Caenorhabditis elegans: one gene and its partner. The protein of the gene in region 1 purifies or fractionates together with the protein of each later gene. This does not show direct contact. Each region holds a gene or a part of one and is shown in the gene's direction. Other genes may lie near its edges. The genes, in order: ref-1 and tra-1.

Region 1 (3,880 bases):
AGTTGTGTTCTGAAAAAACAAGCCTTACAGACTTGAATAAAGTTCTAACCATGTCATAGAGCGTGCGCAGGCCCTACCGTAGAAAACAAAACATTCTACTATTTTGATCTCTGTAAAAGTTGATCTCCTAGAACTTAAATGAAACCAACTTTGTTACGTTGAGTTTGTAGATCGTAAGTATAAAATGTTTGTCGATGCAACCTTGAATATTTTTTTTTAATGTAGGAAATTTTTAGGGTACATTCACTACGCAAGTACCTATTTTTGTCTTCCAATAATTGCCAACGTATTCAAATTTAAAAGAACTCATATCATTATCATCTATCAAAATTCAACTCTCTAACCTATATCTTCCCACAGTCTCACTAGTTCTCTCATCTTCACGTGCCCCTATATTCCCACCACTTCCGTTATACCCCTCTCTCCCTGCACCTTTCCCATGGTTGCCTGCCAGCCAAAGGAGGCGTGGCCTATGCACATCCAACGAGACGGTCCCCGCCTCTAGACGCGTCCGGTTGCAATTAGTCAACAAGTGGGGGCTATCAGAATTTACTTTCATTCATACATCTTCTTCTCATTTTTTTGTTTGTTTTTTAGTTCCAGTATTTACTTTAGCTGTTTTGAGATTTTGAGAAGTGTATTTAGTATACATTCCTAATTATTTTTTGCCCTAAATTCTTTAGAGTCTTACAGTAGCAAATCTACAGTAGTCTATAGCTATGGTTAAGAGTTTCAGCTACAGTAGCAACATAGTTCTACCTCACCAGAAATAGTATTGCTACTGTAGCGCTTCCAATTTCTAGTTTTCCTTAAATTAACCAATTCTCACTTCATTTTAACATTCTTCCCCCGAATTCTCTATGTCTCACCTCACTATCAGTCTTCCAAATTTTCACCTCAAGTACAGTACATCTGAAACTCTAACACCTCCCCATGCATTTTACTGCCTGTAGATCCCTCTTGTTTACCAACTTCTTTCATGTTCTTCCGGTCTGCCGTTTCACTTCCTTTTCTCACCTTGTCGGACCCCTAGCTCTCCATTAAAGGATTAGTACCGCCTGAGCATCCGCCCGGCTCTTCACAGTGTCGCCTCTCACCAGGGGTTATCAAACCAATATGGTCAAGAGTTGTGGGAAACTGTGTCATGACTCAAGTGCTTTTTTCCCATGCACACTTATCAAATGATTCCCACACTGATAACTCGGCACGTCTTTTGTGGTTGATAGTGATGGGAACCATTGGGATATAATTTTTTTTGGCGAAACGACACAAAAAGTGGGTTTTTAGGGTTTAAGGCAATTAAATTTCTACGAATAAGATTCTAATCTAGAAAAAGAAGGCGTGCTGTAGAAGTGAGGGGTACTGTAAATCGCCACGCTCCCTCTTCCGAATGGTTTATGACTTTTCTCTATATCTCCTTCTCTTTCTCTATATTTCTCAAATTCCGCAACATTTCTCCCTTCTTGATTTTGTTCATTTACAAATCGAGCTATAAAAATCAATAAAAACTTAATTTTTTTTCCAGAAATGGTCCTCATCAGTACCCCACCACCAGCTTACGCTCATAACAGAAAAACATCACAGGAGAAGAAACGACGAGATGAGATTAATGCAAAGATCAAGGAGCTTCAACTATTGATTCAAAATGAATCGGATAATGAGAAAATGACGTGAGTTTTCTATTCGTTTAGTGTTATCTTCATTCAAATCTTACTAATTTTCAGCCAAGGTGATGTCTTAAACCGTGCAGTCGAAGTGGTCAGTCGCATGGAAACCGAATCACCTGGACCATCATCAAATCCAAATCGCAAAGGATTCTTTGACGGATTCCGATCAATCGAGTCGCTCACTTATTCCTTCATCAAATCCCTGGGCGTCAATTCAGATGTCTGTCAGGATTTTGTGCAACGTGCCAAGCAGTTTTTCGATCGAGAACGTTCATCTTTGCTGAGCACTGTATCTGGAAAATCAAAGAGAAGATCTGAGTCGGAAATTCTCCACTCTTCAATGAGCTATAGATCCCAGTCAAGCTCTCCATCGACATCGGAATCTGGAATCACAATTGATAGAAAGGAAGTGAAAAAGAATAGAGAGCAAGATAGAAGAGATCGTCAGGGAGAAGCTTTTGATGCTTTGAAGAACTTTATCATTGAGAACAAGCTCATGACATCTCATCAAGTGTAAGCTTAAATTTTCCCAATACCATAAATTAAACTTTTCCTTTTTTCAGCGAAAAAATGCAACGCTTGAACACCCTGGATATCATAATTGCCTACATTCAAAACAAGAAGCACAATTTTGTTAGTCGAAGCGACCAGGAGCAGTCACTCTATGCACATGCAATTGCAGAGGGAAAGAAGACTGCAAAAAACATTGCCTTCCAATTTTTCAAGGTGAGTTGTCAGGAACTTCGAGAAGATTTTTTTAAATGTTATCAATATATTTTCAGAGCGACCGTCACCTCGTTGTCCGATGCGCAGACCTTGAAAAGTTCTTCGAATTCTCCTTATCACCAAAGCCACTCTTTGGATTCCCATCCATGCCCATCCCAATTCCACCACCATCATTCCCAATCTTCCCATTCCGGCCATTCCCATTCTTCCCAATGCCAATGGCACCAATGGCAACAAGTCCAAAATCTCAACAGTCTCCATCATATTCACTGGATTCTCCACCACCATCATCCGATACTTCTTCGTCATCAATCGAAACACCATCCACTCCAAATGAGAACTCGAATTCCAATCCTAAAGCTTCAAGAAAGAGTAAGCTGTTCAGACCATGGGAATAACTTTTCTAAAAAATATATCTCCTTTAATTGTAATTTAGTGTTAAAAGTATATATTCTTATTAATAATTTATCAACCTCAAAATGTTATCGACTTTTTCAACTTATCATATCATTATCATCTCACAACCAAAATCTAGTTTTATTGTCACGGGCTATTAAGCTTACCGGTAGGTTTTATAAATCCTTAATTGTTGTTTTCCCTCAGTATTCATAATATTTATATTGAATTTTCCGATTTTCAGTGATTTTGAAGATTAAATGACTGCAGAATAAAGTATTTATTATCTCTATTATAGTGTTGTATTCTGGTACCTTGTTTCCCATGGCAATTGGTTGCTCATTGCCACGTGTCTCGATAGAATGATGTGACAGTTTTTATTCTCCCACCACCTTGTTCCAGACAGACGACTAATTAGTGTTTTAGTGGGAAATGGTTAATACAATGATACTTCTAATTCAGAGGGTTTAAATCCACAAGGAAAGTATTTCCGCTCTAAATTGAACTTCCGAATGTAACCTAGCTATTTTTTTCTTTGTAAAGTTGATGCCTTTTGAAAAAAACATGTTGAACATTTTGCAGATTTTTTTCAACATATAACATTTTTCGAAATGGCTTCCGGATGATAATCTAACCCTAAACACCCTGAAGCATTAAAAATCTCCATTAAAGTGAATGCATTTTGAATTTAAAGCTGAGTTTGAAATGTAAACCTTTTTTGTGATAAACAAATATTTTCGAATTCCTCAAAAGTTCAAATAAGAATTGCCGATCTTTGAGGTTTCTCTGTTGTTTCCTGCGAATTGTCATCTCGCCGATTATTTGGCCGTTCAGTATTTAGAAACAGTACATTTTAGCCTGGTGTGCCCCCGATACAAACTTCCTTTGTCATCTTTTCTCATGCAATATTTTCCAGAAAAGTTTTGTATAAAAATGCACTGATGCTGGAAACTCAATTTTTGCCACAATTTTTTCCCGAAACTTTTCGCATCTTACTTATAAATATTTGTACTTTAGTTTAGTAAGTTGACATTTACAAATCAAAAGTGCGTAAAACTTTTTTAATGCGGAAACCCAGAGAAAAAGTGTGT
Region 2 (4,837 bases), on another chromosome or scaffold:
TAAAAAAAAAAACTAATTGCCGTTCGGAAACGGCAAATCGGCAAACCTTGCCGATTTGCCGGAAATTTTCAATTTCTCCAAATTGCCGATTTGCCGTTTGCCGGATATCAATTTGCCGAAAATTTTTAGACAGATTTTTTATAAGACGGAAACTCGTAAGACTGTGCCTTTTTGAATTTTTTTCCCGTTTTCTTTAGATATTTTCATAGAGTTTGCTTACAATTTTCAAAAAATTTCCGGCAAATCGAAAAAATTGCCGATTTGCAGGAATTTCTCATATCCGGCAATTGCCGATTTGCCGGATATCAATTTGCCGGAAACTCTTAAAACTGTGCCTTTTTGAAGTTTTTCCCCGTTTTCTTTAGATATTTTCATAGAATTTGCTCAAAAAATTTCCGGCAAATCGAAAAAATTGCCGGTTTGCCGATTTGCCGGAATTTTCATTTTGCAAAATGCCAATTGGCCGTTTGCCGATAAAAAATTGTTTTCCGCCCACACCTGATTTGAATGTTAAAAGCGGAAAAATATCACACAAACGCGATTATTAGCGATTTTTTTCCGCGAGAAATACGGTACTCGGTCTTGGCACGAAAATTTTTTTCTTGAATGCCAAAAGGTTTTGCGCCTTTAAGAATTACTGTACTTTGAAACTTTCGTTGTTCCGGTATTTATTATCAATTTTTGAAAATGTATTATTTATTTATTTAAAAACTAACAATAAACACTGGGCAAAAAAAAAACTCCAAAAAAAAATGAAACTACCGTATTCTTTAAAGGCGCACACCTTTTTGCATTAAATTTCAAAATTTGGCGAATAATAAAAAAAACTACAGTCGCCTCAAAGAAAATTTAGAATATTTTCGCAACATTTTTTTCCATTTTTAGACGAAATTTACTCGAAAATTCCAGAGTTTTTCAAAAAATCCCAATTTCGCCTTCCTACCGTAGTCCAGCGCGGGAATTCAAAATTCTCACGTTCCACCGGTCTCCCTTATCAATATATATCATCCTCCCAATCACTTTCACTGGTTACTTTTTCAATTTCCCTTTTTTTGCGAATTTCCGTTCGCGAAAACGAAAAAATTCCAAAAAAAAAGACCGGTGGCTATAGATACAGTACTATTCCCCCTCTTCTCAACATTTTTATTTTTTTCTTACTTTTTCTCGGCGCTGGCGCCTAGTGCCCGCGGTGGTTTTGAGACTTATTATCAGTTTTTTATCAGTTACGCCACCAATGTACGGCGTCTCTCTGTCTCGTATGCTATTTTCGCATCGCCAAGGGGGTTAGATGTTCTTCTCTCCTATGTATATGTGCTATCAGTCGAGTACTGAAAATTGTGCACGGTTTTTCAAAAAAAAAAACCACCCAAGCCTTGACTCCTTTTTTGTCGTTGTTTTTTCTGGAAAACTCAAAATATTTGTTCTCCATGTTTTTAGCGGGTCTCACCACGATCGTGCCGAGACCCACCCGACAATTAATTTCTCTGCGCCGTTATTTGAAAATTTTTGGCTCCAAACTTTCAAATTGAAAAAGTCATGTATTTTTATATTTAACAGTTCCCAATTTTTTACTGATTTTCACTGAAAAATTGGCGAATTCTCATTCAAAAAGTTTTTAAAATTAATCGAGCCTTACTGTAGTTTTAAAGGAACATGCAGTAATTCTTGCGATGGGTCTCACCACGAACTCTATTCTTTGAATTTTAAATTTAAATTTAAAGATTTTCTTCTCATTTTTCTGCCTAATATCCTTCAAATCTATTGATTTTTTTTGCAGAGAATGTGCCAGGAGGCTCGCCACGTCATCTTCTAAATAATCAACACTATTTGGAGCATCAAGAGCCCCCGCGTCAAGCAATTTTCAACGCAACTCTCCAAATTCAACAGGAAATCAAAAACAACGAAAACGGCGGCATGATGGCCCCCAGTACTGAGGTTAATTCGAGGAATTTTGAATTAAAAAACTAATTTTTACAATTTTCACATTAAAAATTCGTTAAAAATCAATTCTCTCCAGGATCCCGATACGGTTGTCGAGGCTCAACGTCGTGGAAGCTTCTCGAAGAAAAAGAATGCAAATGGGTGGAATAAGGTGGAGCTTGTCGATCAGTGTGTAAGTTTGTGAAGCTGAAAAAAAAATCCATAAAAATCGAACATTTCTAGCGAAATCCCGGTATCTCTACCGCAAAATTCGTAGATTTTTGGAAAAATGCACATTTTTCAGACAAAAACTTTTCGAAAAAGCAGATTTATCACAAAAATTTGAGAAAAATCGAATTTTCACGTACCAGGAGTGGTTTTCCGGAAAAATTCACCGAAATTCGCTTAAAATTGAACTGAAAACGTCCGAAATTTCAATTTTTTGTTGATTTTCCCACTTTTTAAGCTTTTTTTTCAAACCTAACTGTATTTTAAAAATTTAGCCTTATTCAGAATTAAATCAGAATTAAAGAATTAAATTCAAACTTAAAAATTTTAAAAATTCGAGTTTGACAACATGTTGAGCTTGAAAATCGCAGTTTTAGGCTTAGGCTTTTAGGCTTATAATTAGGCTTAGGCTTATGCTTAAGCTCAGGCTTAGGCTTAGGCTTAGGCTTGGGCTTTTAGGCTTAAACTTAGATTCAGGATTAGGCTTTTAGGCATAGGTTTAAGCTTAACCTTAAGCTTAGGCTCAGGCTTAAACATAGGCTTAAGCTGAGGCTTAGTCTCAGCCTAAGGCTTAGGCTTAGGCGACGGATTAGGCTTAGGCTTAGGCTTTAGCATAGGCTTAGGCCTAGGCTCAGGCTCCGGGGAAGAGAAATTCCTAGAAATTCCTTTAAAAAACCCAGGAAAAACGACAAAAATCTGAAAAAAATGGGGCTTTCTGTAGTCGGGTCAAAAAAATGCATGTCTAGGCGTCTAATTTCAAAAACACTTCCAAAATATTATTTCCGGCAATTCCGGCAAGTACCCCGCACCCCTGAATCAGGCCTGCCGGTTTTTTTTTTCAAATTTTGCTCATTTTGCTCAAAAAAAAAACAGACCGAAAATTGAACATTTTTTCGGCGGCACCCCGGACCTTTTTTCTGCGGTCCTATAAAAACACGTGGTGCCAGACTGTCCCATCACGTTTTGTTGATCTACGAAATTGCGGGAATTTTTTGCCCAAAAAAATAACACGTTCTTAACCATGCAAAATCAGTTTAAAAGTGTGCGTCTCTTTTCCCGCATTTTTTGTAGATCAACGTAGATCAAGCCGAAATGAGACACTCTTACAGCACTTGTAAAAATATAAAAATCGATTTTCCCTCGAAAATCGCCAAATTTTCCCGCCAAAAACTTGTCGATTTTCTCGTCTCTGGGTTGTCCAACCGTGAGAATTTATATTTTTCTTCTTCTTCTTCTCAATTTTCTCAGCTCTACATGTTTCTCATTTCCTTTTTCGGGTTCATATCACCACCGTTACCTCGTCTAGACCGCCCGAATATTTCTGCTCCTCTGATCATCGAACACTGCTCCGCCACTACTTTTTTTTCGCTGGGCGCTGTTGCTGCTCCTGCCACGTCGTTTTTTTTTTCCGCTCGACTGATAAGGAGTTGTTCTATCCAAAATTCGAGAGACAGAGAATTCCGATAAAAATACATACATATTATTTTGAAGTTCTCGTGCACTTTTGCTCTTACACTGGCACCGCCGAGCACACCCCCGCCGCGGTTGATGAGGAGGTCAGAAAAGTATAATTTGGGTCTTAGCACGCCCTGAAAATGCAAAAAAATATGGATTTTTTCAGTCAGAAGCTCATTTTTTAGGGGATTTTATCTAGAAATTCCCTAAAATTTTGGGCCCTTTCTGGATTTTCTCATGAATTTTTTAAATCAATTTTTACAATTTTCCAGGCCAAGCAAATGGGTTCGGAGGACAAACAACCTGGTGGTGGCGACGTGAAAACCGAAAATGGTACGGGAAATCGCGCTCCGTTGAGAATGACCGCGCGATTCGGCGGCAATTTGAATAGTTTTAACGAAAAAAAATGCGGAAGAAATTCGCATTAGAGCGCATTTGCACCCACATTTTTTCTTTGAAAATCGCCCGATGGAGTCGGATGGACCACCCGTTTTCAGCTTTTCTAGAGAAATTATTCAGTTTTAGACCAAAAAATTCCACAGAAAATAGAAAATTCCACAATTTATAAATATACATTTATTAGAAAAAATTTTTGAATTTAAAAAAACGGGCGATTTTCGACTCTAGACACCGCCTTTTTTCAAAAATTTTTGTAATTTTTGGGCAAAAATGGCTCGGCAAACCGAATTAAAAAATTTCCGGCAAATTGGAAAATTGCCGGAATTTAAAATTTCCGGCAAATCAGCGAGTTGCTGAAATTTGAAATTTCCGGAAAATCGGAAATTGAAATTTCCTGCAAATTGGAAAGTTGCCGGAATTTAAAATTTCCGGCAGATCGACAAATTGGCAGAATTTGGAATTTCCGGCAATTCGGCAAATCGCCAGAATTTGGAATTTCCGGCAATTCGGCAAATCGCCAGAATTTGGAGTTTCCGGCAAATCGGAAAATTGCCGAAAGTTGAAATTTCCGGCAAATTTGCGGAATTGAGGATTTCAGGCAAATCGGGTGAAATTGGCAGAGTTGAACATTTCCGGCAAATCGGCAGAATTTGGAATTTCCGGCAATTCGGCAAATCGCCAGAATTTGGAATTTCCGGCAATTCGGCAAATCGCCAGAATTTGGAATTTCCGGCAAATCGGAAAATTGCCGAAAGTTGAAATTTCCGGCAAATTGGCGGAATTGAGGATTTCAGGCAAATCGGGTGAAATTGGCAGAGTTGAACATTTCCGGCAA

The links.
Region 2: the proteins of ref-1 (region 1) and tra-1 purify together in Caenorhabditis elegans (affinity purification with western blotting, with the first as the bait; one study listed by BioGRID). This does not show direct contact.

Annotation. Positions count from the first base shown.
Region 1 is NC_003280.10:10,216,946-10,220,825, forward strand, and holds ref-1 (Regulator of fusion ref-1), read left to right. Parts: upstream 1-1,525; 5' UTR 1,526-1,527; coding exon 1,528-1,670; intron 1,671-1,724; coding exon 1,725-2,180; intron 2,181-2,230; coding exon 2,231-2,393; intron 2,394-2,449; coding exon 2,450-2,791; 3' UTR 2,792-3,081; downstream 3,082-3,880. UniProt on the Caenorhabditis elegans protein: Probable transcription factor. Binds 5'-TGCCACGTGTCCA-3' in vitro, probably via the E-box motif 5'-CA[TC][AG]TG-3'.
Region 2 is NC_003281.10:11,192,141-11,196,977, reverse strand, and holds the start of tra-1 (Sex-determining transformer protein 1), read left to right. Parts: upstream 1-1,776; 5' UTR 1,777-1,914; coding exon 1,915-1,935; intron 1,936-2,017; coding exon 2,018-2,113; intron 2,114-3,875; coding exon 3,876-3,936; intron 3,937-4,837. UniProt on the Caenorhabditis elegans protein: Plays a major role in controlling sexual phenotype. Terminal global regulator in a well-characterized cascade of sex-determining genes. Promotes female development. Interacts with tra-2 to promote spermatogenesis.